Linked DNA regions of Drosophila melanogaster. The protein of the gene in region 1 interacts with the protein of each later gene in a pairwise test. Each region holds a gene or a part of one and is shown on either strand. Other genes may lie near its edges.

Evidence for each region.
Region 2: the proteins of slam (region 1) and kipf interact in a two-hybrid assay, tested with the Drosophila melanogaster proteins (one large-scale study listed by BioGRID).
Region 3: the proteins of slam (region 1) and Cpr65Av interact in a two-hybrid assay, tested with the Drosophila melanogaster proteins (one large-scale study listed by BioGRID).
Region 4: the proteins of slam (region 1) and Df31 interact in a two-hybrid assay, tested with the Drosophila melanogaster proteins (one large-scale study listed by BioGRID).

What each region holds. Positions count from the first base shown.
Region 1 is NT_033779.5:6,368,657-6,378,840, forward strand, and holds slam (slow as molasses), read left to right. Parts: upstream 1-3,731; 5' UTR 3,732-3,925; intron 3,926-4,639; 5' UTR 4,640-4,920; coding exon 4,921-6,651; intron 6,652-6,717; coding exon 6,718-8,508; 3' UTR 8,509-8,628; downstream 8,629-10,184. Other genes in the region: Nepl4 (Neprilysin-like 4), read left to right, coding at 1-1,443; DIP-epsilon (Dpr-interacting protein epsilon), read right to left, coding at 10,184-10,184.
Region 2 is NT_033777.3:7,910,699-7,918,541, forward strand, and holds kipf (kipferl), read left to right. Parts: upstream 1-3,152; 5' UTR 3,153-3,385; coding exon 3,386-3,939; intron 3,940-4,093; coding exon 4,094-4,576; coding exon of another isoform or gene 4,577-4,580; exon of another isoform or gene 4,581-4,671; intron 4,672-5,214; coding exon 5,215-5,482; 3' UTR 5,483-5,755; downstream 5,756-7,843. Other genes in the region: Prat (phosphoribosylamidotransferase), read right to left, coding at 1-911; Rfk (riboflavin kinase), read right to left, coding at 1,790-2,166, 2,231-2,315; CG10445 (uncharacterized protein), read right to left, coding at 6,230-7,096, 7,158-7,843. UniProt on the Drosophila melanogaster protein: DNA-binding zinc finger protein that recruits chromo domain protein rhino/rhi to specific chromatin regions enriched in H3K9me2/3 histone methylation, mediating piRNA (piwi-interacting RNA) biogenesis.
Region 3 is NT_037436.4:6,137,697-6,143,834, reverse strand, and holds Cpr65Av (cuticular protein 65Av), read left to right. Parts: upstream 1-3,860; 5' UTR 3,861-3,973; coding exon 3,974-4,119; intron 4,120-4,229; coding exon 4,230-4,419; 3' UTR 4,420-4,612; downstream 4,613-6,138. Other genes in the region: Lcp65Ad, read right to left, coding at 1-144, 236-366; Cpr65Aw (cuticular protein 65Aw), read left to right, coding at 1,452-1,582, 1,648-1,870; Lcp65Ae, read left to right, coding at 5,757-5,863, 5,924-6,116.
Region 4 is NT_033779.5:21,624,710-21,633,740, reverse strand, and holds Df31 (decondensation factor 31), read left to right. Parts: upstream 1-3,808; 5' UTR 3,809-4,048; coding exon 4,049-4,074; intron 4,075-4,764; exon of another isoform or gene 4,765-5,090; intron 5,091-5,154; exon of another isoform or gene 5,155-5,279; intron 5,280-5,531; coding exon 5,532-5,899; intron 5,900-5,983; coding exon 5,984-6,141; 3' UTR 6,142-7,432; downstream 7,433-9,031. Other genes in the region: Ac3 (adenylate cyclase 3), read right to left, coding at 1-114.

The DNA.
Region 1 (10,184 bases):
GAGGTACGTTGGTACAACGCCACCCATCACATGATCTTCCTGCTGCCGCACAATCGCCACCTAAACCTGAGTCTCACGCAAGACATCTATGATGCGCTGAGTCAGGATGGCTCCTCCTGGCCACCGCTCCACCAGCTACAGGAGCAGTTCAGAAGTTTGGAGCAGAACTTGGTGCGACTGGCTAAGCCCCATTCGGCGGACGATACCTTCCGGAATTACAGTCTGGATCAGATTCGGACGGAGGTGCCGGGTCTGCATTGGGACGAGGCGCTGAGGACACAGCTGGGCAGATCGGTGCCGGGGAATCATGTCTTCCAGGTGGACGACTTGGACGCGATCGAGGGGCTTGTGGAGTACCTCAATACGGTAGATACTCTGCTGCTCAATCGGTACAGCCTGGCAAGATTTCTCAGCCACCTGCTTGAGCTGCCACATAACCCGCTGGCCACTTGGGAGTCCGGACAGCGGTCGCGGGGAAGGAACTGTATTCGTCACATGCGCCGCTCTGTTTACCTGCCGATGAACTACGTCTACGAGAGAAGTTTCTACTCCCGGCGCCGCCACGCGGATGAGCTGGTCATCCACAGCGTCTTCCAGCAGCTGCAGAGTCAGCTGGAGCTGCGGGTCCAGCACAACGCCTTCAATCTAAGTCAGGATCTGGTGAAATCGCTGCAGGCAAAGGTGCACCAGATGCGCATCAATGTGGGCAACCTACCGCCCAATGTGACGGAGCAATTCTATTGGGACAGCGACCGGCGGTGGAGCGTGGGCAGGGACTTCTACGAGAATCACCTGAACAGCCTGCTCTACTACTACACGCTCGTCGCCGATTTGGAAAGCAGCTCGGACCAGGAGGAGCGGGACATCTGGTACAGCTTCAATATGCATACGCCCGAGTTTCCCGACAACATCGATGCCACGCCGTACTTCTACTGCCTGGGCAACATCATCTTCGTGCCGTACTCCTACGTAAAGCGTCCCTTCTTCGATGCCAACTTCTGGCCAGCGCTGCTCTACGGTGATCTGGCCAACACCCTGGGCCACGAGATCATGCACGCCTTCGACACCGATCTGGTGGACTACGATGCGCAGGGTAATCTGCGTAACTTTAGCGACCAGTTGGGCGAAGTGGAGCTCTACAACGGAGCGGTTGGATGCCTGAACAGCAGCGCTGTTATGCTAAACGAGCGCACCTCCGACGTCAGCGGATCCCGGCTGGCCATGCAAACCTACGGTGGCGACTGGCTCACTCGGTCGGGCAACGGGCGTCTGTACTTCCTCCAGTTCGCCCACTTCTTCTGCGGCGACGAGGGCGACCAGTACCATGACTCCGGCAGCCAGCGGCTGAACTACGCCCTCGGCCAGGTGCCGCAGTTCGCAGAGGTGTTCCGGTGCCATGTTGGCTCCGGAATGACCAGCGCGGACCAGTGTCCCTTCTGGTGAGGGATGCCCAGAGACGGTCGGTGACTCCCACTGCTAGTCGGTGTATAGCTTTAATTAGGAACCCAAGTATTGTGAATAAACTTCTATGCTTAGCAATTGCGTATGCGGTTCGCATCTGTCGGGCGGATTTTCCGACACGGACTGAGTTAATTTTCAATTACGTGTGCAACGTGATAGACAAGACATCGGTGAGCAGTAGATGCCCTTCCAGGATGTTCGCTGTCAGGCACTGAAAAAATAGGGGGGTAGGTACTCACACCTACGCAGAGGAAATAAAGAAAATGGGATGCTTCCTTCAGTCGAAATATTTAACAGTGTGAGCGAGAACCTTTTTAAAAGTACAAAATGTTTCGACTCTGTTTGTGCACCTTGAACTTTTGCCGATTTCCTCTGCCGAAGAGCTCACGTGTGCTTTTCCTTGCTTGCCCACGGTGCGTATGTGTTACCCGGCGTGCTTTTATTTATTTGCTAATTAACACCCATCCTGCGCGGAGCAGACGGCAGCCCAGAGGGCGACGACCATCCAGAATCCGACTTAGATTCCAAATCCCGGCCCCAAGTCGGTGGTTGCACTGTGCAACTTGTTGAAGGTCGTCGCGCAAATCGCTCATACGCCGCGTGGGTCTTGAAGGCGCGTGGCAAGCGGTCGGTTTCGCCTGGCAACCGCATTAATGGGCCATTAACAACCTGCCGGGATGATAGCGCGTGAGCCGCGTGTCAAACAGCGGTCAGCCCCAAATCGTGGTTGTTTCCGATGAATGGGCGACCGTACGTTTGTCTTTGCCCCACAAATGGACTAGAAACGGGAAACTTGAATTGATTCTGCGATAAAGAACGTATGCCTCGAGACACTCGAGCTACTCATGTGAAATGGGGTGTGGGGCTCAGTCATCTAAATCAATATTCTGCGGTTCCAATTTGGTATGTTTCAGATTATTTTCTAGTTTCTTGTGAGTCAGCAAAATGTAAAGGATAAACACATCTTTAGCAGTCTGAATTCCAGAGCTCATCCAACGCGGCTACATTATGCTGAGTGTGGGCTATTGCGATATGGCCAGCAGTTCCTCTTTCCGTCGAACGGCTTATCAGTGCTGAATTTCATTCATTCATGTAATTCAAAGCGGCTGTGCATTATATTTGGGCTGGCTTATAATTAGTTTTAAAATAAACCGCTTGGCCAGCGGAACGCGGAAAGCCGAGTGACGCAATCGGAGCAGCGAATTGCGAATGGTGTGGTGTTAGTCGGAAGCCAGCAACAAACTCGCTGCTTCTGATCGCCACGGCGGTGCTCCACTCGGCTCGGCTGAGGTTCGTTCCTTGACCCCCGGATTCCGGCGGTCTTGCCCGCCACTCGGGGTTCCATGTCACGTGCGCTCGCTCGGCGGAGTAAGTATGTATGTATGTATGTGGGTCTGTGCGGAATTGATTGATTTGCCAGCGAAGGTGGCGCACTGGAAGACAGACAGACAGACAGACTGACAGACGGACGGACGGACTGATAGGGCTGATGAAATTACAAGTCGCGCATCGTCATTCAGACCGATTGTGGGCATGTTATGCGAGTAAACGGATTTTGCGGCAATGAAATAATTGCCAACATTACAGAACTGGTAGTGTCTAATTAACCCGCACTGATAAAGCGGGGTACATGCCGCCGCTCAGATTTTCAAAATTGCATGGCCCTGCATTGAGTGCCCAAAATCTGAAACCAAATATTCGCGTTCCGGTGTCGCCGACAGAAGCGGTGGCTACTTAGCAAGTGGAACCACTGCGTCCCCGTCCATTCCAGTTGGATATGGAACGCCAGCCACATGAGTTTATCATAAAGCACCCACTAAATTTTTGCCGCTGCTGTTGGCGACCACAATGTTTGTAAATGTTTTTCACCGTCGAATGGTATTTCGGGGATTGCTTTGTTTGTCATTTGGGGTATTTGCCAACTGACCAACTACTGTCCATCTGAATGATTTTGGTGTGCCTCTTTTGGCTTAAATAGCAATATATTCAGATACCAATAAAGGCACGTCTGATAGAATTCAGGCCACGGGAGCAATCCGTTTGAATTTATCGTATCATTGAGTTGTAAGCCGTTTTGGCCGTTAATAGCCATCGAATTCTCATATCTTCACTGGTCTGCCTAGAATATAAGTTATTGACATTCTAATCATTTTCTTGAGCCCATGATGATATTTAAAGTCTAGATTAGTTTACGGTTTAAAAAGCACTGAGCTTTGATGCTGATTCAATCAGCTGATTCTTAATTCGTGGTGATTGGCTTTATTATCAGCTGTGATATTCCGTAAAGCCGGCAAATGAGCCCTTAGATCGATGTAAATGTACTATGTTATTTGGCGCAAATAACCACGCTTTTTCGCGGTCTTTTGTTTACAAAATTAATTTGTAATTTGTTTATGAAGTTGTGCGTGTTAAATACTGTGTTGCCTAAAGTAGATCATAGTTCAACAAGGAAATCCTTAACAAAGTAAGTTAACTAATTTATATAAATAGCCGGCCTGTTTTAGAAAGCCCAAAAAAGGGTTAGAGAACGCTTTTGTCTTGAAAATTTGGAATATTTGGAAAGTATACCCTTCCCATGTAAACAACTTCAGCTTTGTGATAAAAAAATAGGCACTCCGTTTTGCTAAAAGTAAAAAAGCGCATTAAAACCAAAAATTAAAGATAAAATCGTTAAATATCAGGCAGTTAAAAGATGTATCCCATTATGGAACTTATCATTGTAGCTCTGTAACTCATCAGCTCCAGCTCTGCCACCTGAGCATCCGCAAATCTCAGCCCCTGATTTCATTTTATGGCTCTGTCGGTGTGAAAGTCACTTTGTGGCAAACTGCAAGCAAAGTTCTGCTTATCCCTGGGGTCCTGAATTCGGTTCGTTTTCGCTCCAAATTTCAGCAATAGTCAGATGAAGAATTTTCAGTGTGTGATTTTTATTGTGGCTGCAATTCGCCTGGGTCTTGTTAACATTCGCATTTTTCTCGGAAAATTCGTTCGGTTGCAGTATAATGATGATGCTGGGAGTTGATTTCGCTGAGTTACTGCAATAATTGGAATTTAAATTTTAAGGACTTTCCGTCAGCTGTCTTTCGAGTGAATCCTCGGTTATCCCTTCTTTCCAGAACCTTACATTTTACATCTATTGCACAGCCCTAATATTACCTACCTGTTTTCTTTGTTTCAGGTCACCTGGATATATATTTATAGCGGAAAGGTTCGCGAAAATAATTAAATATCGGTTAGCGCGAGGAAAATCCATCGATCCGACAGCTGCGGCTGTTAATCTTACCTGATCGCTGCTAGTTGGATTAAGGAAAATCTGAGGCAGTGGGTGGGCAATAAAATCTGCACCCAATCCATATTTTACCTGATCATTGTATATAAGCTATTAGCAAAATGCCAGAAAGCCACAGTTACAAACTGAAACGTCTAACGTCAACAACAAGACAGCAAACTAATACCAAAATGGTCCTAAGCAATTCCACGCCGAACAACCAGTCCAAGCACAACCAGATGGTAGTGGACACGGCAGCCATGAACAGTGATGATCTCAGCGAGCTACTGCAGCTGAACGCGGAGATCGAGGAACGTCGTCGCTCCAGCCGCCACGGAGATGCCAGCACCGCCTGTGGCCTGCTCCGAGCTACGATGACCAGGGAGGAACTCTTCGAGATTTCCTCGCTGGATGATGATCGCTTCCTGACCGCCCTGGAGTACCAAAACTCGTTTGCATCACCGCGCCGAGTGCAGGTTACCGACCTGGACTTGTCCAGCATCGAGAATCTGATGAAGTACTTCGACGAAGAGGTACCTGTGACGCCAACAAAGACACTGGGTACCACCAAGGCAGCGGGTAACACGGGTAAAGTGGCCAGCACAATTGCCAAGTTGGCCCTCCAGTCGGATCCGGTCACGCCGCCCAAGCCAAAAGTGGGTAGTGGCCACCTAAAGATCAGCGAGCTCAAGCAGAAATACGAACAGCTGCCGGAGATGGAGACGCCACGCTCTGCATATCAGGCTTCCAGAAAGGTATCCGCGTCGCTGCCCATGAAGGTCAAGGAGATGGCCCAGCTGTTTAACTCCAAGATCAGCCAGGTGATGCGACGTACAGAGGAACCACAGTATGTTCAGCTGCAAAATGAGATGTCGCCGGAGGTTAAGGCACAGAACCGCCTGGTGTCGCCATTAGAGTCCCCAGTTCAAGGACCCTGCCTGGTGGCCGAGGAAGTTTTCCGCGAGTTGAGCGTGAAGGACAAAGCCCTGCTGTTCAACAAGTTCATCGGTGACATGGCAGCCAAGCACCCCAAGTTCACTGCACATGCCGCAGATCTCAAGGAGAAGGTAAACAAACAGGTGGCACGAGGGGAGGTGGTGGCTGAACGACAAGCCAGTGTTAAGCATCTCGCCCAGGAGTTGGAAGCGAAATGTATCCTGGAGCCGGGATCGCCACCGCGACCAGGTGGTGTCTCTCCCCCCAAGACGACTGAGAGCAAAACGGAGACATGCACCTCCCAGCTGCATGTGAGCACCCTGACTGTGATCCTCAAGCCAAGTCCAGAGCGCAGAGCTCCACAGCCACGACCCCGCCGATGCCTGGATCGTCAGAGCGATGAACATGCCCGAGAGCCATCCCAGAAGCGAAACCTCGCCGCGATTCGCACCATGATGCCAACGGAGGCCTATGCGCCACCAAAGAAAATCCGACGCACTCGACAGGAGCGCACCGGTGCGGATAGCCAAATGTTTTTTCAGAACGAACACCTCGAAACCCTGTTCTACAGCTGGCTCAGCTCGGAGAACGGTGTCCAGTTCGACATTACGAGTGTGTCTGACGGTCAGCAGACCATTGAGATAGCCACCGAGGAGGGTAATCTTCTGGAGCAACCGCTACTTGAGCCGAGCACCGCTACTCTGGAGGATGTGAGCCAAAAGTCCGCCGTCGAGCGGCTTCTGGAGGAGGCCATCGCAAAATTAGAGCTAGATAACGAGTCCAAGAAGGAGACACAAGTCGAGGAAAAGAAGGAGATGGATACAGCTCAGGATCCCATCGTTCAAGTCACTCCGCGACGCATTAAGCGCCAGGCGCCGCCAGTGCCAGCCCCACGACCCAGTCTAAGTCAAGTTACCTCCAGTGCATCCAGCTGCAAGCAATCCGAGGCTGAGGAAAGTGAATCCGGGTTGTCTACACTCCCCAAGGTAAGTGATATCTTTAATAAGTGGATTCATGAATGTTGACTCATTGTTCTTAATTTTCTATCACAGATAACCAGCGACGAATCCCAGCCAGAGACGCCCAAGGATGACTTGCAGACAGGTGAATTTGATTTTGCCAAGCCCCAGCGTCCGCCACGCAAGAAGAAAATGCGCCGAACTCTTACATGGAAAAAGGAGAACTCCATTGTCGAGGCCACTGCAATAACCTCAACGGACTCCGATTCAGATTACAAGCCTCCGCTATCAGGAGCGGCCAAGAAGAAGTCCGGTGCTATCTGTAACCCACTTCCAATGCCCGAGCCAAGTTTCATTGAGTTGGATAAGTCACTGATGCGCCACTTGAACTCGCCCCGGAAGATCAAGTCGGCATACACCCTCACCGTGATGTCATCTCCCTCGCCGAATGCAGACAGCGATCAGTCTCCTAGTCAGACACCAAGGCAATCCCTGGTACAGGCCATGCGGGACAGTTTCGTGGATCAGGGCTTTGAGACATGCTCGAACGATCCGATGGACAACAGTCCGATACGCCGATCTTCGCTTGGAGCCACGGAATCGAAGCCATCCGGTTTTTCCACGCCAGTTAAGGGACGCCATGCTTCCAGTCCGGCGCAACAACAACTGTTCAGTCCGATTCTCATCCAGGAGCGCCCTCGTCGCAGTTCCCTGGCCATGCAAGTGATCCGGGAGGATCATCCGCTCGATCTGGACGCCACCTCCAGCTCACCCTCCACACCGTGCAGTGAGCGGGAGTTCTTCGCCAATGCCCCGACTGTTGAAATTGATAACTCCCAGGATGAGAGTCCGACCGGCAAGGCGCACTCAATGTTCTGGATCACCTCTGGGGACTTCACAGTCTCCCTGGAAATCTTCAAGAACAGCCCGGAGCGCCTGCGACTGCTGTACGAAATCTTCACCCAGAAAAGCTGGGAGACTCGTGACCTGGCCTTCGGAATCGACGGACACAAGTTCATTCGCGGAGCTCCCAGTTCCGACTCCGTCCGACAGTCGCTGCCCGAGCGTCCACCCAGTGTGAAGGGCTGCTCTCACTATTGGTTCGCCAGCGGAGATCTCGCAGTGCCCTTCAGCGGAAAACTGATGTCCAGCGAGAAGATCGAGCGGCTGTTTGCCTTCCTCAGCGGAGAGCAGTCGGAGTTGCGCTTCGGCGTTGACCACATTGAGTTCAGCAGCGTGCCTGAGTTCTGGCCCACCACCCAGAAGTATTCCATCGAGAGCAGCTACAGCATACTGGTGGGTCTGCAGACAGGTGCCAGCAATGGCCTGGAGGGTCGCAGCAAGTACTCCTGGCCCAACAGCAGCATCAGTGCCAACCAGGCGATCAAGACCAGCGACCTGGATCAGACGGAGTTCGAGTCCGATAGCTTCGGCAACAACAGTGGTAGGCTGTCCTTTTCGCCTGATCTCTTCTCCCTGGACTACGAGGCGGTTCCCCTGGACGAGCTGTTTGCCAAGGCTCCTCCCTCTGCCGCCACACCCGCCATGTCCGTGCCGCAAATGATGCAGACCCTCAAGCAGCAGCAGTCCAAACTTCGCAGTGTGGAGCAGCGCATTCGTGGCTACGCCAAGCCCGCGAATCTGGCCGACTCTTCGCTGGAGCACTGCCGCAACACGCCGCAATATGTCCACAAGCTGCGCTCCATCATCCGGGCCATTGACAACATTGGACGCGACGATGGCTTCCGCGGCTGCTCGATGGAGCAGCTCGAGAGCTTCATGTACTTCCTCAGCGAGTATGCGGATGTGTGCCTGGCCAACTGCAGCGAGCACATGGACAAGATTCTCGACACCCTGATGGACCGGAGGGCCGTGGAGGTCTGAGCGATGGTGCTACCTCATCGGGATCTGACTTTATTTTAAGATTTTATAAACAATTAGTTCCTAGACATTAACATATAATGTTACAAAGATTTTAGATAATAAACTTTAAAGAGAAAAGTTAAAGCCATTCAGTGTATTTCCTTGGGCATGCAGAGTCCAACAAAATCAGGGGTTCTGGAGGGCATAGCTCCTTGCTATCCTGCAGACACGTAGGAGTCTGGCAAGCATCACGTTTCCTGCAAGCACATGGTTTCTTTTTCTTGCTCTCATCAAGCAAATGCTCCTGTTGCATCAACTTCAGACATTCCTGGCCAAGGATACCATGTTAGTGCACATCCAGTGGCCAAGGGAATCCGTTTGGGGCCAAAAGGAGTTGCTGGGTTCGGTTCAATAACAATTTCACGTGCAAAAGTGCTGCGCAAACATGGTATCAGAGAAAAGTACTAACTATTAATGCAATAAATGGTTACTTGTTCAACATAAAATAAAAGTCCCGTCGACATTCTTTTGACTTTCAAATAAAAAATAATAGTTATATTTTTGCACAAGTACCACTGGTCAATATCAAGAACCACAGATTACTGAAATAAAAGTCGCTTAAGTTTTAAGAAGCAATCCCAAATACATAGATATTTTATTTGTTTCTTTCGCAGTGCCAGTTTGTTCCGCTCGGGGAGCAAGTTAATAAATATACATTATCACTCTTATCGTTAAGAAACACAAACTAAGGCCTATGATATATGTAGGTATTTAAATATATATATATATATGTATTTCTGTATGAGTAGTTTAGAACTTACATATTTGGATTTGGCTTTATTTGGATTATTTCTCAACTGTAAACCCGTCTTAACTGATCAGCTAACTAAATTATGTATCAACAGTTTTCGCTTCAATCGTGAATATTCGTAATTCATATTTGCTTAGTTACTTATTTAGGTTAATGGTTTTTGATTAATGCATTTTAGGTGCCTGTTTTTCAGAGTATTTAAGCCTTTCGCTTTCCCGTTAAATATCTAGTTTTGAAATGGTTTGATGCCTACTCTCGTACAAATGAACATTCATTTCTAGTGCCTATAACGAGTACATAATTTACAATTGCATTTGGGGTTTTATCCATGCATATACGCGCTTATTTACAGTTGGAGGTGAGTGAGTAGTGCTCTCTTTTTAACAATTTGGCATCATTCGAAGGGTATACTATTTTTTCCCACTTGTATTTATGCAAATTAATTGATTTTATATCTAACTAACCAGGATTTATGTGCTTTGGTTTGCATCGCATGTTTGCTTTGGCCCTGCCGAAATGCTTTTTACAACATTCTTCGCATACCCTCACCGATGGTATAGTGGTTTTAAAACCAAACGAATTTTTAGAAAATATTTTAGAGTGCTTCCGAACGAATGGTAAACAAATATGCGAGGTTGATTAATTTGGTAACTTTGTTTGCCTAAAAACACGCTGTGGTTTTCGCCACCAAACGTAATCAAATATTAATGGGCTGCATAGGGAGTTTCGGGGAAAACCAAAGCTTGACTTCGTTAACGTTTGCAAATTGCAATTCGCTTAATTAATTACACAGTTGTTATGGCTAATCGTATGCATCGGCTTCGAACACCTTTCATTTCGACTGTTTGTAATGGCACTTTATTAAAATGGAATCGCACATAGTTCT
Region 2 (7,843 bases), on another chromosome or scaffold:
TAGCCACTTCGCGACAGCTCCACTATCTCTCCAGGCTCCACTTCGCGGACGTATCTGGCACCGATCGACAGGAAGCCACAGCTCTCACTGGACACCACCCAACCATCGGCAGGTGTGTCTAAGTTATTTCCGTGCCCAGCATTGATGGGCACTATCTTGCCAATGCATAGCGGCCTATTTCCATAGGTGTCCCTCACGGCGTAGATTTTGTCCTTTAGCATGATGACCAGCGAGTAGGAGAGTGGCGCCAGCATCATGAAATGCCTGATCCTAGCTGGCCAGTTGGGTCCATCCAGTTCGGAAACATCCTCCGGGGCGCAGCACAACGACTGGGCGATCAACTCACTGTCGCTGTGCGTGGATAAGCCCACGCCTCTGGCCAAAACCTCCCTTCTTAGAGATTCGTTGTTAACAAGCTCACCATTGTGGGCCAGGGCCAATGCTCCATGTGTCGTATGTACCTCAAAGGGCTGACAGTTAACCACTCCGGATCCGCCAGCGGTCGAGTAGCGTGTATGACCGATGCCCAGGTTGCCACGAAGCTTCTTCATGGAGTCGTCGTTGAACAGGGTGCTGATCATACCCATGCCCTTGTGCACGTTGAAGTTCTTGGAGCACTTTCCCTCGCTGGTCGCTATGCCCGCAGACTCCTGCCCACGATGCTGCAGTGCCACCAGCCCCAAACAGATCACGTGTGCAATGTCCATTTGGGTGGGCCAATCTCCGCAAGCGATTGCCCCGAAAACGCCGCACTCGTGCGTCAAACCGGTTAGCTCCTTGCTGGCCGAGATGGATTCCGATTCCATGCTGGAGGTCACCGCCTCAGCTGGTTCCACCTGTTGTTGCTCGACCACGCGCACATGTTGTTGTTGCTTCTGCTGCGACTGTTGTTGTTGCTGTGGCGCTGACATGTTGCTGCTGAAAAATCGGTACAATATGCTGGTTGAAGGCAACTGATTGCAGGCAGTGGCGCAGTTGACGCCGATCTGATTTACCTGCTGATTTACGCAACGGTTTTATACAAGAAAAATCCTCGCACGCTCGCACGCGCAGCTCAGTTTTTCCCGAATCGGTCGAGATCAAGCCCAATATCGATCGGTCGCTGATATCGATAGTGCGGTGTGCTGATGGATCGATAGCATTCTATAGTCTGTATTTTCAAATTGGAATTTTACCTAATTTGTAATTTAGTACACAAAACAATATACACATTATAATTTGATTTTATTCGTTTATATAAAATATACGCAATCAAACTAAATAATAAGCTTTAAATTGAATTAAAGTTATTTTGCGCAATTAAAATTAATTAAAAATTGTATGTGTATGTTCGTATATATAATATTTAACAGTTTTTTTTTTAACACGTAGGCAATTAAAACCAGAAATATAAAAAATGTTTCGTGAAATAAATAAATAATAATTAACTACATATGTATAACAATTGAAAATAAGTTCACTGCAATCCCTCAATAAAAACGCCACTAAGAGATAAATATATTAGAAAAAATTCACAGTAGGAACATTTTTACAAAAACGGTTTCTTTTATACATTTGATAAGTATCAAACTGAAATGCGATTGGTTCAATTTGTTGGTGTCATTATGAGCAGTAGGAATTTAATGAAAACGTTTAGCTTAAGTACTTGATTCGATATTCGAATTCCGCTTTGCACATCGCGCAAATTGAGAGATAAGATAACTGATGGAATAACTATTTCAAAGCCGTGCGAAGAGTAGTAGTGCGTCCTTCAGCAAAGCCTCCTTTTCCAGACTGACCTACGCCATCGCTATTTCGACGAGCAGAGCTTCTCCGTAAAGAACGGAGCCTCCTTCAGCTTGGCCTTGTCCGCCTCGTCGAGGAACGCCTTGGCCTGCTCGATGTCCCCGCGGATGGCGGCAATCAGTGACTCCAGGGAGTCGAAACTGCGCTCCGGTCGCAGGTAGCCTACAATGCATATCTTGAGTGTCTGGCCGTAAAGGTCACAGTTAAAGTCGTGTAGCATGTGCGTCTCCACGCTCTTCTCCTTGTTGTTGTAGAAGGGATTCCAGCCGATGCTGAGGACCATCTTGTGCACGGGTCCATTATCCACGTTTGCCCAACCGTAGTACGCGCCAGTGGGCAGGGATTCCGGCAGCGATTTCACCACCTCCAGCGGAAAGTTAGCTAACAAGTGGTTTGGTTATCAATTAGAAATGACCTTCGCAATTCGCCTAACGTCGCCACCAACCTGTTGGGATGCCCAGCTCTTTGGAGCCGCGTCCGAAGCCCCGAACAATCTCGCCCCCAGCGAACAGAGGCAGTTGGCTCAGCATTTCCCAGATTTCCTTGCAATCTGACCCAGATCTGCTGTGCTGGCGCTTGAAATGAATATCAGGGGCCAATGGGCGGTTGATTTGCGGTATTCTGTGCAACCGCAAAGCGCTGCGGGCCAATTTATCGAGTCTGGCAAGGAGTCAAGCGGGGTTTTCTACAGAGTACGTATGTTGTGATTGCCGCGTAGCCACTCACATAACTATTCCTCGTTCCATTGATCGGCATAATATTCATAAACACACAGACAAATTTTCCGCATTCATAAAGCGAATCAGCTGTTGCCTTCGGGCTGCCAACCTGTTTCAGTTATATAGTACTGTCAATTAGCGAATTTTTTTTACTAGATATTTAAATTGTAAGAAACTGAAATGTATATATTACGCACAGTATGGTTTTAATCAATAAAGCTTGGGTTTATATTGTAATGCAGAATTAATGTAATTGGATTGATTTTAAAATTTTAGCGGCGGGTTAAACATATTTTCATCAAAAGCTTTTATTTGCTGTGTAGAGCTTCTATTGAAAATATTGAATTTTTATTTCATAAATGAATCATCAGATGTTTTGTGTAAATACTAGTACTCTATTCCCAAAATAAATAGAACACCAAATCGTAATTAAATTACAATGAAAGCCAGCTTGCCTGAAAAATATTTGTGTTATTAATACAAATATACATACATATATACATATATATACATATATACATATTTTTTCATATCATATCAATCTCAATTTTTTTTATTCTGAATAATTGTTTTCCATGTGTACATGTATTATTCAGCACTAAAAAAAATGTACAAATGATCAGTGCGACGGTTGGTTTCTTTGCAGTTCCAGTTATCATCCAATTCTCCAAAAAGTGAACACTTACACTTGTGTAGAATGAGAAATCAATTGAACTCTTTAAAAAATGTGCCGTTTATTCATATAATTTACCAGCAATAACTGTAAAACCAGCGAAACGGGATTATTAGTTTGCAAAACAAGGCCAATGTCAATGGTCAATTCATAAGATGTCGTAAACTGTTCTTTTATTAAAAAACATTGCATTTGGTTGTTGATTTAGATGATGCACAGCGCGAAGAACGTGTGCCGGACTTGTATGGACGAGACCGGCACCCTGGTAGATATATTCGCCAATGTAAGGGATCCTGTGCTCGACGAACCGGAGATGAGCCTCTCGCACATCCTGGCCAGGTGTACCGAACGTCCAGTGAAACGCGGCGACCTGCTGCCGCAGTTCATATGCGTTTCCTGCGTCCTGGCCGTGCAGAATGCTTTCCGGTTCAAGTGGCAAAGCGAGCAGAGCTACCAGCACTTCTTCCGCGTCCTAAACCAGTCGGGTGCTCCGGAAAACCAAGTGCACTTAGCTGCATGTAATGGGGATAAGAACCAGATAATAAACCAGAAAATGCAGCTCAAAAGCGATCGTCAACAGGATACGCAGCAAATGACAAAAACGCAGAAACCAGATGATGATCTTAGTCAAAAACAAACACTCCAAGCGAAGCTCCAAGAGGGAAATATTGATGGCCCACCGGAGTCCTTCACCCTGCATCCTCGTAAGCGGACTTGTCGCACAGAAGAACAGGCAGACATGATCCCAAAGGAAGCTACAAGGTAATGCAATTTGTTATAAATATCAAGCCTCAAGATAGACAAATAATTGAAAAATTATAAAAATTTGAAGGTACATCTTTGATTACTTATACTTTTATATGAATAATTAAAAATAACTTAAATAAGCTTAAATAATTATATTCCCGATTTTCAGAAGTACCAAAATGATCTGCGATGCCGATGGCTACTACAACTGCCCGCACTGTTCTAAGCGATTTTGTTCCCAGACCCAGTTAAGGACCCACATCACCGATCTGTGCAACAGGTGTCCCTACTGCCCACGCACTTATATGCAAAAATCGAACCTCAAGCGGCATTTGCGAAACCACCTAAGCAAGCCAGCGCACAAGTGTTTCCACTGCTCGAAGGCTTTCATGCGTAAAGATCACCTTAAAAGGCACCTGCGCACCCACGACAGTGACGGTCCGCTCTCCTGCAGCCAGTGCTCAGCGGTATTTATCGAACACGTTCAGCTGGAAATCCATCGCAGAGAGCACAAACAAAGGCCGGGCTCTTCAAAATCGGAGTCCACGAAGGATCCTGACTCGGACGACAGCGATCAAGCGCAGGATCTAAAACCAAAGTGGACTAAGAACACCTTCAATGGCACGTGCAGCATTCCACCTATGCTAAAGCCGTGAGTTTGGAACTCCACCAGTCTTATGTAATATAGTTATACCTGATAGTTATACTTATACCCTAGTACCGCTGAGAAATTTGTGACGAGCGAAGGTAGCGTATCTGACCCCTTTATATTCTTAATCGGAACCACTAGCCGAGTTCATAAGTTCTCATCAGTCCGTCCGTTCGTCTATTTTTCCGTCTGTCTGTCCGCAGAGATCTCTGGAATTAAAAATCTAGAAAATTAAGGTTTTGAGTTTGTTTCAGACCTTTAAAAAGCCAACAAACGGACATTAAGTTATTGTTTTCATTTATTCTTTTACTTAAATTTTTGGCGATAGCCATTTCGCCGAAGAAAATTTGAATAATCAAACTTTAACCAAACTTTAAAATTGTATACCCGTTACACGATAAGTAATAAAAAGGTTTACTAGTAGAAGGAAATAATAATCTTGCACAGGATCAATAGTCTGTCCGTCCGTCTGCGTGTCCGTAAGAACGCCGTGATCCCGTTAACTATAGGAGCTAAATCCCTAAGATTTAGTAAAATTTATAGAAATAGAAAACCCTCGCACTTTTACTAGCTGATTAACGGGTATCTGATAGTCGAGGCGAATCAACTAATATCATTTGCTTCTATTTATTTAACAACAGGAAACCGATATGCGATATTTGCCAAAAGAAGTTCAGTAGTGTCTACGCCTTGAAGCGGCATATGCTTACTCACAATCGCCAACATCATCTTAAAAAATGTACCTATTGTTCCGAGGAGTTCAAAACAGAAAAACATCTCAAAAGGCACGAGCGTGGTCACATGGGAGATCTGTTTCGTTGCGAATTTTGCTCATTGGTATTTGTAGATGTTAACTACTTGCGAAAGCACAAAAAACGCATTCACAGCAACAACGTAATAGCGATGTAGGAGAAGATCATGTCCAAACGGGTGACTACCGGTTATACTCTTGGAAAACAACCATTGAATTAAGCAGATTAATATATGTGAAAGGAATATAAACGATTTATTATTCATTATAATTATAATGACCGCAGGTCTAAACTTCTGTTGTTGATTCTTACTTTGAATTTTCTTAAATATGATTCTTTTGTTACTTTCATAAGCTCAAAATTAATATTATTTAAGTTTCGTTTTAATTATATATTTCACAGAAACTCAAATATACTGAGAATAAGCTCTAAATTTATATTATTGAAATTTCCTTTTAATTGTATATTTCACAATACATTATTATACTGAAAATAATTAAACAATCGATTGATTGCTACCACATGCTACTTAATGCCTTCTTATATATCTTTAGAGCTTCAAACTTTTTTCTTTTAGCTTTGTTGTGGTTTTGCGAGAACAAAAGGAAAAATAGACAAAAAGAATGATCCATACATCATGAAAACAACTAGTATGCTTTATTATTAGTACGTTTTGTTCTTAATATAGAAAAAAAGGGAATATATATGCTTTATGCTTTATGGACGTGCGACTATATCAAATGTAACGTATAACGTTAAAGGTAGTCTGTGTAGTATTAATACACAATTGTAAACGAATTCAATCCGTTAAAAAACACTTTGGTGAAATTGTAAAGCTTTTGTATGCGAACAATTTAAACAAAAAAAAACATAATCTTCTTAAAACTAACTAAAATACTTCGACTCACATCTCGAAGAGTTTCTTTAGCTCCGCGAGGTTGAGACCACCGCCAACACATTTGGTCACTTCTCCTCCTTCCTCTGGAAGCACAACTTTCGCAATTTCTAGCTTGCAATCTTGCAGGGACTTAATTCGTTGCTCTACAGTGTCCTGGCACATGTAGCGGTAGATGAAGGTAGGCTTAGTTTGACCATATCGATAAATGCGGTCCTGAGCCTGTCGCTCCAGCTGCGGGTTCCAGTGGAGGTCCACAATTAGCATATGATTGGCCACGTTCAGATTCAGTCCCACTCCGCCAGCGGTGAGGGAGAGTAGAAGAACGCGCTTCTCGTTATTCGCGTTAAAGTCTCGCAGTACAATCTCGCGTTCTTTGGCGGTCAGCTGGCCATTAAAGTCAAGTGTTTCCCATGATAGATCCTGCAGTCTTTTACGGACGATTGCGAGATAGCTTACCCACTGAGATGTAACAATGATTTTGTCGTTGGTGCCTGTGAGCAGTTCCTCTAGCTTATCAATGACCATCTTTAGTTTGGCAGAAGGGCGTATGAACTGAAAGATGGGATTCTGGGGATTGAGCAGTTTAAGAGCTCTGGCACTATCTAGTTGATCCTCAAAAGAACTGGCCGTTGGCAGGTCATCACCAGAATCCCATGGCACATTCTCCTCCTTAATTTCATCTTTTATCACTTCCAACTTGAAATTGCCATCTCTTCTAGTACTGTCCTCCTCGTCACAACAGTCATCTTCGCTATCGGTTTCGTCAAACTTATCCAACTCGGCAAGGACATCCATCTTGAGCTGGCCCTCCACGTCTGAGGCATCCACCTTCACGTTCTGGACGTCCTCGGCGGTCAAAGCACCACGCAGCATCTAACGAAAGATGTTGAGTATGATTATGTGGGGTGATAAAGTAAAATATGTATATATTTACCCCAATCATTAGTCCCGGATGGCAACAAAACTGTCGTAGCCGCAGCAGTAGCACCAGGATATAGATACCAAGGATCTTTTCCCCTGGATTGTAGCCAAGCGACTTAAGGAATCTTTCGTAGATCTCGTTGTACCTTTCGTCGGACATATGTCCGGCTATAAACTGTGGGGTTCTTTCCAGAGAGTAATAATTTAAATCACTGTTGCCCTTCTCGCGTTGGAGCAGGAACTGTGTAAAGATTTTTTTGGATATGGCAGACAGGATCTGGTACACGGCCATTTCAGTTTTCGATAGCTGTACGCATATAAGTTCAATCTTAAGGGAAGGCAGCGCAGGCATGTCGCCAGATGCCTGTAGCTTTTGCTTTGTCCTGCGCAGCATTAGTGGTTTTATTATAAAGTTAAGTCGGCGATGTCCGAGCATGCTTTCGTTTAGGTTCTTTTTCCACTGCTGGAGGTCCTGAAAGTTTGGTACATTTACAAACCGCAGCAGGGCGAACACATCGACGCCCCGATTCTGGACAGGCGTTCCAGTCAGGGCCCAATGACAATGCGCCCGCAACTGGCATACAGAGTTACAGCAGTTGGTTTTAGAATTCCGAATGATGTGAGCTTCGTCGAGGATCACGCGGTTCCAGTACACGGCGAACAGTGGAGAAGTGTTTCCATATCGTTTAAGCTCGTTTA
Region 3 (6,138 bases), on another chromosome or scaffold:
TCGGCCAGGTACTGAATGCTGTAGGTCTGACCATCGTCACCGACATAGGCATAGGATCCGCGGACAACAATTGCTTCGTGATCGGTGCCCACGTCCTTCAGCTGGCCTTCCTCCTGATGCGACTTTCCGTCGCTCGTCTCCACGCTAAAGAAAACCAGAAACCGGTTAGCAAACGACCTTGACACAGTTGGAAACCTGGAAATCTGGCCGAATCTGTTGAACGACAACCACTTACGCAAACTTGTAGCCCTCGGGCAGGACATCGCTGTCGAAGCGCAGCACCTGAGCATCCTGCTGGATGGCTGGAGGAGCGGCCAGTGAGCAGGCAAGGATACAGGTGAAGGCGATGGCAATAGTGAATTTCATTTTGCAGCTGGAATGTGGCTGATGGGGATTGGGTGACTCAAGTGATGGGTTCGAGGAGTGTGCAGACAATGCGTGCAATTCTCTTGCCGAGTGGCGAATTTATACTCCTTCGGCCATGTAATGCAATGCGTGTAAGTGGCAATTAAGGGAGCAAAAGAAACCGAGACCCAAAAAAAAAGTGAGAGTGGGAGTGGGAGAAACCAGTTTGTCGTTTTGTTTCCTTTGACCCACACTGGTTACCTAACCAGTTGCTGGATGCTTCGGCTCGGCTTTGCCTGTTTTGCGATTGATTGATTGCCCAGCGACAAGATACACAGATTTCATTTGTCTTCGACAAATTAACTACAATGTGCGCCCTGCCCAGGCCATGAGTTGCGTTAGTTGGTCTTAGAAATAGTCAATAAACTGTGAAATTGGGTCACATCGAAATTGGGCTCAAGTGCAGGCGAAATGAAATGCTCGGCCTAATAAAAAGCTTTTGCCATTTCCAATTTCAATGTCCCTCGGACACAGTTTTTCAAAAGTTTTAAAAAGTGGCTTGCTTTTTATAGTATTTCTCTACGTTTTTACAGAAGAAGTTTGACATTTTTTGTGCTAGATCACAAAAATTAAGACTTATGGAGAACACATTTTTCGAACTTGCAAAAAACTAGAATTCTGATAGAATTTTACACAAATATTCCTGACATTTGAGCTTTTTAAATGAAATTTTATAGTCAACAAGTTTTAAAAAGAATAAAAAAATCTATATATGTAAATAACATTTGGAACTTTATATATGGCTGAAGTGTTAGAAATATGTGGACAATTATCGCCTGAAGCGAATTTAGAGGGTTAAGGCAACACCATTTGAACTTTTTGGAGCGTCTTCGCCGCAAATCGTTTGCTTTCAATTTCATTTCGACTTGATTTGCCAGCTTTTTGGCTACCGCTCGAGTCATTTGGAAATTCGCATCTTATTACACACTCCGTTAATTAGCCGGAGTTTGTATTGGGCTTAGTATGGATTGCAGGGGGATATATTGAACGGCCTTTGCGCAATCTGAATTAGTCGCATAAGCGGATCGCCAAAGGACAGTTGACAAATGGCCGGCTTAACACTGCTTTTCGGCCTAATCCTGGTCAGCTTCTGCGCGTGTTCCTCAAATGCCACCGATACTGCCCAGATACTGAGATACGACAATGAAAACATGGATAGCGATGGCTATGCCTTCTCGTAAGTAGGTGGTTCAGGGTCAATACCAAGTTTGGAATAAGTTGCTTACACACGTCTCCCCGTAGATTCGAGACAAGCGATGGTATCTCGCGTGAGGAGAGGGCCACTCTGAAAAATCCTGGCACTCCCGAGGAGGCAATCGCCATCCAGGGCAGCGTCCATTGGGTGGGACCTGATGGTATTCACTATAAGCTGAACTATCTGGCCGATGAGAACGGTTTTCAGGCTCAGGGCGAACATCTTCCCCAGGTAGAGCACTCATCACGTGATAGGTTTGGACTTTGTTGATAAGAAAAAGAATAAGCACACGCAAAACCACCGAATAGCTAAAGTAGGCGGGTAGACAATAGAAATGAAATACATAATAATAAAATACAGACACAGGTGTATATATATCTATATGGCTGGGCATAAATTTTCACCCATCGAAATTGAATTGTATTCTAGGCAGGAAATTAGCATATATACATTTGTATCTTCCAAAACCCGTTTGCTCTTCGCGCCTGAATTGTGTGCGGTAATCGACTAGCTGCACTCTCCGATCCCCCGATCTCTGATCTTCAATCTGCGGGAGCTGACCAAACCGGTTCAATAAACGCCAAAAAGCACCCAACAAAGGTTGCCAAAAAGCGAAACACAATTAATGAAGCCACAATGCTGCCAACGAAAGTGAGAATTCCGGGTAAAAAAGGGCATTTTAAGGCAATTAACCTAAGCTCCTCTCATTTATCAATCGTAAATGCAAAATAATCGGTCCTTTCCCAGCCTAGACATATTATTTTACACGGCCGAAAAAATCGTAAATGCAAAATAATCGGTCCTCTCCCAGCCTAGACATATTATTTTACACGGCCGCAAAAATAGTACACATATATTTTTGGGCGAATTTATAAGCTCTGTTAAAAAAAGTATCTTAAAAAATGTGGTATTGCAATATTTGCAATATGAAATACATAAAAATTATGTTTATATTTTTGTATGACTTTAAGTATGTATTTACATATATTAAAGGAACAAGGTCTCTTAAAAAGTTTAGTCTAAACAAATTATAAAGTGATTCTGTATGCAATTATGCCATTAGACTACTTCTTGCTGTGTACCAGTCACAGATTTCTGAATGATTTATAATGCCCGAAAATGACCAGCAGTGACATTACGCATACGCCCCGATGTATTGTGGTATTGTAGGGCATACATAGCCCAGCCTTAGTCGGCTGAGCTTGGTATTGGCTTTTGTTGTCTGGTTAGCTGGTATTTTATTGACTAAGGTCATCAACCAACACTCGGGCTGCTGACTATGGAGATGGAAACGACGATGATGAGCCGCGTAATCTTGAATCTCTCGTGCCGCATCTTCACTTAAACAGCAAATGCAGCTGACAAGCAATGGCGGTGGAGGTTTTCGTTTCTTTTCGATTCGATTCGTTTCAAGATTTTTGGAGGTTAAATCGCCCTGTCTTAATCGGAAATTGTGTCAGCAGTTAACAGACGTCAGGGCGGAAATGCTTCAATATTCCCCAAAAAAAATTTGCAGCTTTGCAGTCGGATAATTCAAGAATTACATTTATGAGGAAATATCAGCTGAAAAAGCGGAGATTAAGTGTTTATATGATGGCAATTAAATCTCAAGATCATGGGAATTCCTAGATTCCATGAATTGAATTCTTCTTCCCGTTCTTTGCTTAGTTTCCTAAACATATTTTAAGTGGTTGAGTTTTATTCACTTCCTCACTGCTCACTTCTCTTGGGGATTTAATTTCCAACCCATTTTGCTTTGTTTCATCTTCGATAATCTTTTTCATCACAATTTGTTGATAAGTGCAAACATAGCCATTGACCTATTGCCATAGATCCAAATGTATATATGCCTGCTTGTCTACTTGTAGGCAAACACGCGCATTGACCAAATATTTGTTTTTTGTTGGGGGGCCCAAACATTTCATTATCACTTGCTCCATCATCTTCAGCTCCGATTTAACTTTCAGCTCCCGTGGCGTGGCAATTGAGATGAGATTCGAGCGCACATCAAACGCTTAATGGTCTTTAAATTATTTTTTTGGCTTGTTCAATTAAAAGCTTAAGCTACTCACGCTGCCATACAGTTGCCTTCAATTATATGCGTATGGGTAGATAATTGTGTTAGCATTTGAGGTGTTTGTTATGGGCCACCTAAACTTTACGGATCACATAAGTGTGTGTAAATGAGTGTGTGTGTTGGACTCGCAGCACTTGGAGTTTTGGCCCGGCCAGTTATAAATAGCTCAACACTCATTACAGTTAGCCACATTACTCGTTAGTGCCTAATTGTGATAACTACCGGAGCGTGCACTAAAAACCAAACTTAGCCAGGACCTTTTGAAAAGTCTCTACCAGAATCCAATCCAACTAAACATGCAGTCCTCCAGCATCTGTGTCCTGGCCATTTGCGCCTTCGCTCTGCTCTCCACCATTAGGGCTGCTCCTCTGGACGACTCCCAACATGCCACCATACTAAGATACGACAACGACAACATTGGCACTGATGGCTACAACTTCGGGTGAGTAGCAAGGACAATGCACGGGATATTTCCAAGGATTGAAACTTTTGTGTACTCTCGCCTTTCGAAAAGAAGAACCCATTCAAAAGAGTTAACTATCTTGATTTCAGCTACGAGACCAGTGATGGAGTTACCCGCCAGGAGCAGGCTGAGGTGAAGAACGCCGGTACCGACCAGGAGGCGCTCAGTGTGCGCGGTTCCGTCAGCTGGGTTGCTCCCGATGGCCAGACCTACACCCTGCACTACATTGCGGATGAGAACGGTTTCCAGCCCCAGGGCGATCATCTGCCCCACAACTAAGTATTTCCTCTTTGTGTAGTCAGTATCGAAAGCAGTATTTCTTTATATTGTAAAAATATCAGGGTTCTAAAGTATTTTAATGTTTGCTCCAATGATCATATTTCATTATAATAACATAGTCGATATCAATACATAAATAGCTGAATCGTATTGTTTGATTATTAAATTATCACAATCAAATGCCAGTCTTCAGCTAGTCTGTTTGGATTTTTTGCGATCATAAAGTGAAATGAGTTAGATCGTCCGTTCAACCCGGATCAAAAGACGTTCCCTATGCTAAATTTAATATTTATGGTAGGGCTATATCAATGAAAAGAAAAGTATGACGCAAGAGATGGAAGAACAGGGTGCCTGTTCTCTTCACATTTTCCATACGCAACGTTGAACGTCGAAATGCGGTGTGTGTCTCGTCTTGGCTCGTCTCGTCTGGCGACTTTGCCTGGACGGCCTTCGGTTGGCAGAAACTTGCAAATTTTTGGCACAGCCAAACATGTTTGGGTTTTTGTTGTCTTTGTAATTAATACATAATTAAAGTGGCGCATATTGAAAAATGTGCGAGGGATCTGGCCACAAATGAAAACGAAGTTTTGAAGGTTAATTTCAGGCGTTGATTTAAATTTCATGCGATGCTAATGAAATTTGGAAGATACCTTCCAAAAACAACATACAGCGCACAGAGAGCCAAACGGCCAAATTAATATGCATGAAATAAAAAGCTACAATGATCAAACTAGTTTTGGAATGAAACGATTGGACGCATTGATCGATCTTTAAGCTAACAGAGCGCTGACGTAGTTTCCATGCCCAATTTTAAGTTGAACACACTTGATTTACATACTTATTGTCGTTGATGTACAGAACTATTGGCTGGTATGCTCAATGAAGTTCTAAATATACGTATGCGAATCGATCGAACTGAACTCATTGCTATTTTCCGATTGTTATATTAGGAAGGGATGTGAAAATGAAGTTGAACAATAAGAAGTGCTACACATTTGAATTTGTCTAAGAATTGTTTAATTTTATGGCCATTGTTAGTGGTGAACTAGCCAATTAGTAGAACTATCTTGCCTGACGACTATTTATTTCATGTCATTCCAGCTTGATACGATGCGAAATGTATGTGCAGGGACATTAATTCGAAAAACCCGATGAAGCATCCCATTATAGTTTTGCGATTTCCAAAATGCGAGTCCATTTAATGAGATATGCAAGATTTTAGGTTTGACAGTGTCGTGGATTAGATTGCAAGTCAAATATAAAAGTGTTCATCCTGCACTCCGTCGATATCATTCGCATCGAACTCTTCGAGATCTCCAAACCAGCCCAAATTCAACATGAAATTCCTGATCGTCTTTGTAGCAATCTTCGCTTTTGCTTTGGCTAACGAAGCGCAAATTATTAACTTGGAATCCGATGTTGGACCCGAAAACTTTCAGTGGTCGTAAGTAGACTGACAGGGTCCTCATAAAAATGCCTAACTGATTCTGGACCTTCGTATTAGCTTCGAGACCAGCGATGGCCAGGCGGCTAACGCTAAGGGACAGTTGAAGTACCCTAACACCGACCACGAGTCCCTTGCTGTCCAGGGATCCTTCCGCTTCGTTGCCGATGATGGCCAGACCTACGAAGTCAACTACATCGCCGATGAGAACGGATTCCAGCCCCAGGGTGCCCATCTTCCCGTTGCCTCCTAAGTGGTTCGAAGTGGAATACCAT
Region 4 (9,031 bases), about 15 Mb from region 1:
GCCTCCGGCCACATCGCTGTCGTTTTGCCGCCGTCGAGATGTTGTTTGACGCTGCGAATGCGATTTGCTTGTCGAGGCGATCGTTTTCTGACCGTTCTCCAAATTTGCTTCCATCTCGTTTGTCTAACTTCTAGGATGTTATTCGTTGTTCGGAGAGCTTATTTCGTATTTGTGGTTTAGTAATAAAGCGACACCATGTCCTTGGTTTATTTGTTTGTAATGTGACAAGAACATAAAATAGTTCACTTGTCTGAATCGAAGCACTGCAAGGCAAAATCGAAATACAGGGACAAAGTATAAGCAAGTAATCTTGACACTTATCGGTGCATCCTCCGTCCACTCAAATTAAATGCACTGCGGAAGCGTCCTTGAGAGAGAGAGAGCGGTGAATATTCTCATATGTACAACTGTTAGAGCACGAAAGTGTGTGCTTACCTGCATATGGCTGTACCGCACATTTATTGCCGTAATGGAACTGTTCAATGACAACATAAAAAACAAAAACATTATAAATATCAAATGTTGCCTAACCACTACAGATAAGTTGGTTATCATATTGAAATTGTTCTGTTAAAACTCGTGATCCTTTTTTGCAGCATTCGACACCATAGTAGACCACGGTAACTGTAATCAGAAAATTTCGTCCGCTCTCTCGCTGCTCTCTACCCCACCGCTGCCTCTTTCTCTTCATATGACTACCTCTTCATTTCCCCATTGAGAAATATTCGACTGACAAACTAAGTAACACACACCTCTCGTCCCTTTTCTTGTGGAAAATCACTTTCTTGTCTAGGTATGCGCGTACATGTGTTTCTCCTCTTTGTGTGAGTTAGGCTCAGTTTCTCAAGGCTTGTTTAAATGCTCTATTTGATTTCATTTGTATAACAGCTCGCGAGCGTGTGTACCCTCTGCCTATTGCAACAAACCCTCGTTTGCTTTAAATTTGTATCCCAGTAACTAACAGCTCCAGCATATAAGTCCAAGATATTTGGAAGTTATTGATAACCGTCCGCCTTGATTACTTCCTTAACATACGTTTGCTATGCTGGTTATTTGCTTTTTCGATGTGTTAAATTTTTTCTGCTAGCAAGTTTGCACGCAAGACACCGAGCAATATCCTTCGACTAAACTAAGCCGCCCCGATAAACTTGACTGATTGTCGATTTCAGCCTCACCAGCAAGGACCTCCGTTATTTCATGTTTAAACGCTCAGAGGTCGAACGAGAGCAAGCTTTTTCGGCTGAAAGCTCGTTTTTGCGCATGCGATCGAAGCAATGCACTGATAACGGTACAGCTGGGCTATCCTGATAAGAGTCCCTTTGCACAATAGCGTATTCAGAATATTACCGGAAGAGCATAAAGTTAATTAAATCTCATTAAGGTCTCCCGCCAATAGGCAACCACTGACCGATGAAGAAAACGTCATGAATGCAGCTGACCTTAAAATGAGTGCAGCTGCTATTTGACAGCGCCTGTGTGAGTGTGTCGGGGTGGACTGCACTATGGGAAACCTAACCACTTTTTCTGGCCAAAATTAATAACTTCAGAACGGAGAAATTTATTAGGAAAAAATTCGACAAAATTTAAAAATTGTTCAAAAGTGTGGACGTGGCCGGTTTCGCGGCTTTAAAAATGCTTATGTATGGCAATTTATATTTTTATCGAATTTTGGGTTGAACATTTTTTTTGCTTTTGCCACTCACTTACTCATAATGCAAGCCACACTGATTAAATGCCTTACAGAATGTAAATAACGCTTCAGAAAAAAATTGGTTAATTTTTCATAGTAGAGTTCTGTTGCATTTATTGATGTCCACTAAACATAGTATACAAACATGAGTAAGAGATATTTACGTTATACTTTTTATACATTAGTAAGTAATTTGGGGACCAAAGAATTTTATTCAGAATAAAAAAAAGGCATTTCCAAGTCTATTTTTCTAAATGTTATTTTTTAAATACCACAAATTATGAATTTAGTAAATAGATCCGTTGATTTTTTTCCTTAAAAAAATCTACTGATTTCAAATCAAAGCCCGCCTCAACGATGTAAAAAAACTAGTAACGATGACACCTTTACTGCTCTGAAATCATCTTTTGTGATGAAAATATAATTTTGTTCTGTTCAAGAATATAGGTATCTTCATTGATATGTACGTGCTTATCTACGTATATAATTCTTTGCTGCGAACTTAGACATTAGAGCATAACTGATTTGAATTCAATCTTTTTTGTGCGTTCAAGGGGATTTCAAAATGGTTGAGAATATTAACCTTAGACCAGTAGTGCCCAATTTCCTGCGTCGCGGAAAAATCTGTTTTCTTTAATTATTGGTCGATATATCGCCTTAGAATATCGTGTCGAAAGTTTCAAAAGCTAATTCTCGAAATTTTGGGAGATGCCCTTCGGATTTCGGAAGTCATACTTTCCTTGACGGCAATCTTTAAACCATGTTTGGTTCTATATGAAGTAAAGACTTTTCAATACAAACGAATGCCTCGTTCCTATAATTATATTTTAGAAACAAGAAACAACCCCAAAGCAAGGCTAAATGGAATAAACCCAAAATTTTACAGACGATGAAATCGAAAACCCGAAACAAATCACCCACCTGTAAAGCAAACATCCGTTGTCCAATTTTATTAAATCAGCATGTTTTCACGTTCCAAGCCGACACTCACAAGCTCGAAAGCAAAAGTTTGAATTTCAATAAATAAAATCTTAAAAATCTAATAGCGCTTGTATCCAAGAGCGAATGCACTTCACTCCAAAAGCCAAAGACACTAGATTATTCTAGTGTCTTTGCAAAAGCCCATTAAAATTTTACAGCCCAAAGTCCATATTAAAAAAGCTCGAGACCGAGGATTGATCGTCAATCAATATAGATCAATAAGTGGAGTTTAGCATGAGACCTAAAATTAAATGTTGACTTATGAAAATTGAAAACTTGTAATTATATGTATGTATAATAGCGTCTATGTTCTTCGGCAATGGAATCTCAGTCCTAGTGTATTGTTTTCCTTGCCAATAGCCTAAAATATTGTAAAATTTTAGTGAAGCAGAAAATTTACCAGCTGCCTGGTAGCGCACTCTAATTCTTTTTTCTATTATACCGATCAAGGGACGCAGACAAGGCCACTATACATATGTATGTATGTACGTACTTATGCGTGCATATCTGACTACCTGAAAATGTTTTCAGAGGGGTGAGGATTATTTCCGTCGGTTTTATGTGTTTGATTACATACATATGACATATCTTTAAGATATTATTTTTAAGATCTTGTAGACTGTGTAATTTACAAGGAAATTGATTGATGTAATTTAATAAAAAGCTTGAATTTTTTAAAAATGACGATATGTGTATATATATATATATGAACATACATGTTTGTGTGTTTGTTTATTTAATTTTTAGGAGTACCGGATCAAAAAAAAAACTTAGAATTGGGAAGGTGTATTACACGAAAAATCACTCAGGTCAATGAGAAAAACAAGGATAGGAATGCATTTGAATATTTTACCTGCTATATTTGTGTAGCCGCTAAATAATAGTTAAAAGGTGGCAGCCCTTTTTAGGGGACCGTTATTTTGAAATATTTGTCACTGCTATATTTCATCTCTTTAATATATTAAAATAAAATTGTAAAAATCTATCAGCATAAGCTAACTCCGAATTAAATAGAGAACGGGTGATAACGATAACAAACAAAGATATGTTTTCCGGAGGCGGAACTATCGCAAGCGGACTACCGACGTCTACCAACACTACAGGGCGGCGCTTTAAAAGCCGGTCCGACGCTCACCGCTCTCTCATTCGGCGTTTTTCTTTGTGACTGTGTGGACGTTCTTAATTGTACGGCAAAATCTCCAGCAACCAAGCTACTTTCTTAGCAAAGCTACTAAAGAGGAAACTATATTGATAAAATTTCGTTCTTTTAAAATCTTTGTGCTGATATTTAAGGCGTGCTTGGTGATCCAAAAACCCTCAGTTACAACGTGTTTTCTCGCTTCGCGTTTGAAAAGTAATATCTAACAGTAATTCAAAATGGCTGATGTGGCTGAGCAAAAGAAGTGAGTACTTTGCTTGCCTTGTTTTCGGACGTTTGTGGATTTTGTTTAAGCAATGGACTTGTAGCGAATTTTGCTAATGAAAATCTATGTTATTTGCCGAAAAGATTTGGAAATTTTCTTTTGAATTCTGTGTCTATATACGCAAACCGCTTGTTGGCACTAATGTAGTTGTCTCGTTCCCGCCAAAGGCAAAACGGTGTGCGCGCAAAAACCGACGCCGTTTAATTTGGCGCGGCGTCATGGTGCCTTCTCGCTCTTTCTCCGGCCGGCAAACAGCAACGATGAATTATTTGTGTGTGTGTGTGTAGCGGCGGAGTAATGCGTTGAGTGTATGCGGACGACAGGCCAAATGCGCAAAAGTCTATAGACATGTGTGTGTGTATGCGTGTGCAGCATTCAAGTTGCCGCTCTTTTCTTGTGCTGTTTCATTTCATCTGTCTGTGCTACCTCGTATGTTGCTTTGCTGCGTTTCTCACCAGACATCAAATTTCGAGGCTTGCCTTTTATACCCATTTGATAGCTTAAAGCTCGAAGCTTGAAATTAACAGTATAAATTTTCACGCATATCTATATTGGCATTACCAAAAATACTCCCTCTTTCCCTATCGATGAACACTTATGTATATATTTTTTTTAAGTAGTTATTATATGTTGCAGCTTATAATACATAACAAAACAAAACTCATGCCTAAGGCTGTTCCGGTTTTCTTTGAAAGACGCAGGTTGTATGACGTTATGCTACTGTTTGTATCGTTTGGACCGTTATTTTTGTCGTTTAGCGTTGCTACTTTGCAACTCTCTTTTTGTTCGCCCTATAGAATTCTATCTACCTCAGATGGCGAGTATCTGTTGGTAGATGAGTGCGAGAGAAACGACTATATTGTCATTAATCCCATTAAAACTGGTTTTTATTTCTATCTTTGTTCGTTTTAGTTTAAACGGGTCTCGCTTTTCATTTTGCACGTCTGCAAGCGTGTTTTTGGTTCTACCCTGTTCTCATCTGTTGGTAGAGAGCACTGAAATAACAAATGAATATATGCCATTTATATGAAAAAGAGCGTGCCGCCTAATCGCACTCACCTTTTCGCGCTTCCTTTTGCGTCGCAGCTTGCACGAGTTGTTGATCCCATTTTTGAAAAACGCCGGCAGATGTAACAATGCACTTTTTTTTTAGTTTTAATTCCGAACGTCCTGGGGCTCTTATGAATAGAAAGTGGAGGATGAAAACATAAACGTTACCTACCGGCGCTATATTGAAATTTTTCTTTTTTTTTTTTAAATTCAATTAATATTTAATTAATTAATAATTAATAGTTTTAGTTTTTGATAATTTTTAATTGATTTACTGTTTAGAGTTTTGTATGTAGTAGAATGCTATGCATACGAAGTTCAGTTCGGCCACCTTCGGAAAAAATTATAAGTGCATACTGACTTTCGTCTCTGATTATCACCCACAGTGAGACCCCTGTTGTCGAGAAGGTCGCAGCTGAGGAAGTTGATGCTGTGAAGAAAGATGCAGTTGCCGCCGAGGAGGTAGCAGCTGAGAAGGCGAGCATCACAGAAAACGGTGGCGCCGAAGAGGAGAGCGTAGCCAAGGAGAACGGAGCCGCCGACAGCAGCGCGACCGAGCCCACCGACGCAGTCGATGGTGAAAAGGCGTCTGAGCCCACTGTTTCTTTTGCCGCCGATAAGGATGAGAAGAAGGACGAGGATAAAAAAGAGGATTCCGCTGCCGATGGGGAGGACACCAAAAAAGAGAGCAGCGAAGCTGTTCTACCTGCTGTCGAGAATGGCTCCGAGGAGGTCACCAACGGTGACTCAACAGGTATGATGATATCAATGATATCAATGCCAAACAAATTTTCCACGTTCATGTTCTTATTGTTCAATTTTTATTATCGCCTTACAGATGCTCCCGCCATTGAGGCTGTAAAGCGGAAGGTGGATGAGGCTGCAGCCAAGGCAGATGAGGCCGTCGCCACGCCGGAGAAAAAGGCTAAGCTTGATGAGGCCAGCACAAAGGATGAGGTTCAGAATGGGGCCGAGGCTAGCGAAGTGGCCGCCTAAGGGAATCGCCCGCGGAGCAGCAAACTCAGTAATCTACTTATTAAATACTTACTAACACAAAAAAAGCAAATCACAGAAATTACGGTTCTACCGCCAGGAACCCGGACTGTATCCATTTTCCGCTCTTGTGAGCGGGTGATACGTGGGTGGCTGCTTGGGTGGCGGGCGCAATTCTCCAATAACAATCCGGCAATGGGAGCGTAGTTTTATAGCGTACCGGTTCTCTCTCTCTCTACTAACAAACAACCTACCAACCAACAATACCGGCAACAAACGAAAACAAAAAATCCATTATTATTTAAAAACTTACTTAAAATCTTAACTTTAAAGCAAAGTATATATATATATAAAGCGAAGGATTAAGAGAACAATATTAAGCGAAATTAAGATGCGAGACCCTCTATGTTTTAAGAATAAAAGTTGTAAACAAAAGCGTCAAATTTAATAATTGTAAAAAAAAATACGAAGCGAATGAAACAAATTGCAAACAAAATCTTTAAGTAAGAAAAACATCAAAACAATTACGGCAAAATAACATATGTAATCCTTTACAATTTTTAATTTTACAACCGTATCTTATTTTTGAGTATGAATATTTATATCGAACAAAGTAAAACTAAAAATTCAGTAAAATGTAACAAAAAGCTGCCAGCAACAACCCCAGAAAAATGTATGCCAACCGGCTAAAAAAATACTACCACATAGAAACAATAAAAAGTACGAAAAACAACTTTTACAGCAATACTCTGAAATGTTTATTTTTAAAATGCTTTCGAAATCGTACCTTTTTTATTTGTAATCAAGGTACCACCTATTTCACATTCCCAATTACATTTTATTTACTTGTCTAAGCCTACGAAATAGTCTGCGACGAAACTCTCATTAATGTTCAATGTTTAACAACGATTTAATGGGCAGGAAAGGTAATGGCCAGTAAATCCAGCATTCAGCAAAATCAAGATTCGAGATTATTAAAAAATAAAATGAAACGTAAAAATTAAAATCAAACTGTAAGCGTAACTTTTATTAATTTGAGCATGTTTGTATTCGCACAAATAACAGCTGTCGCCAATAGTAGAAATTATTATTTTCTTGGTAGGGTGCGGTCCAAGTACATATTAGTGGAAAGTAAACTATTTTAGGTAATATGATTTCGACACAGAACGTTACAAATAGTATTACTATTTTGCCTACGGTAAGTTGTTTTTTTTTTTGTATTTTTGGACTTTCGTTTAATTTTAATCAGAAAATTTAATATTTGATAATCTCTTGACTCATGACATTATATCCCATATATTTACGTCAATTAAGAAGCCTGTAAAACAAACACGGCAAATCTACAGTTCACACTTTAGCTAAAATTACATGAAGAATAAACTCCGCAAAATTTTATTTCATTTCATTTATTTCACGCTTAATGACATCCAATTTTTTTTTATTTTAACCTTAACAATAATAAGAGTACAGGCCAATAATTAAACCTTATCTACTTAGATATTAATATCAATATGAATAATATGATAATGAAAATATTATACCGATTGGGAAAAAAATTTTATGTAATTGAAAAAAAATCTAAGCACTTAAAAAAGGCTATTATCTAAAAATTACAATTAAGGTGGATAGGTCAAATCATTTATATGCTGGTGCACAGCCTCTTGACATTTAATAGAGAAATTTTGGGACAATCTTATTAATCTATTATAAACCACTTCAATATTGGCTCGGTTATGTAAATGAGCTGTTGAGTGATGCCAAGGGTGATTAAAGATTAGTTTTAATATTTTGTTTTGTCTGATTTGTAGCAGGTTAATGTGACATTTGGCCATTTCTGACCATACTGGAGCACCGTAAAAAGATAGTGCTTGGAAGATTGACCTGAACAGAACATTTTGTTTTCAATGTTTTATCTGGAATTTATGTTTATAAATGGATAAAGCGAGCAGATAATGGCTTTAAGTTGTTCGATTGTGTCACTTATGTGATCTTTGAATTTTAGCCTATTGTCTAACGTGATAGATACCCAAGTATTTGACAGTTGTTTCCCAGTTGTTTCTGCAAAATTAATTTCGATAAATCTCTGGGAAGTGTTCCATCTTCCAATCCTTCTGGATACCAATTTATACTAGTCTTTACCCTATTTTACCCTTTATCCGTAGACAAGATTATTTGAAAAGATTTTATCAGGTAACGTTTTTTTTTTTATTTTTTGTCAGAATCAATAGTCTAGCCAAAAAAAATAAATGCCAAAAATCTTTATCAAAGGTGTGGGCGCGCGATTTTTTGTCGGCTTGTAGGAGTGGAAATCTTTTTAAACATGATTGATTTTATTCATAAGTTTGCAACGCAGGTAAGAAAATATTTACGTACTCATATTATTAAGCATGTATTTTATAAGATATTTTGTCGGCCGTATGAACGTCGAGATTTCAGGAACTATAAAAGCTGCGTTGAGATTAAGCATACAGATTCTAGAGACACAGACGCAGCGCAAGTTTGGTTTGTCTTGCCAATTTCTAGACTATAGCATTCTCTGTTGTTTTTATGTTCAATTTATTTTCCTTCGCAGAGCATATTGTCATGCCCACAGTTTCGACATTTTTTTGGGGTCTTTTTATTTCACTGCTTGTTTTGTTAATTTCTATCAGTAATGCTGCGTTAATCGTAGCAAATCGTGGCCAAATCTTTTGATTTCGTTTTTAAGTCTGCTCTGGTTTTTGCAAAATGTTTGCTATTGGAATGTTTTGTAAACAGAAAACAGCTATTTAACTGTTTTCCAAACAATAGAGCAGCCACCTTCCTTACAGTTTTAATTCCGTTGTTCGCAATTACTTTTTTACTGGACATTGTCCATTTATGTAATTAAATTAAATAGCATTATTTACGATCA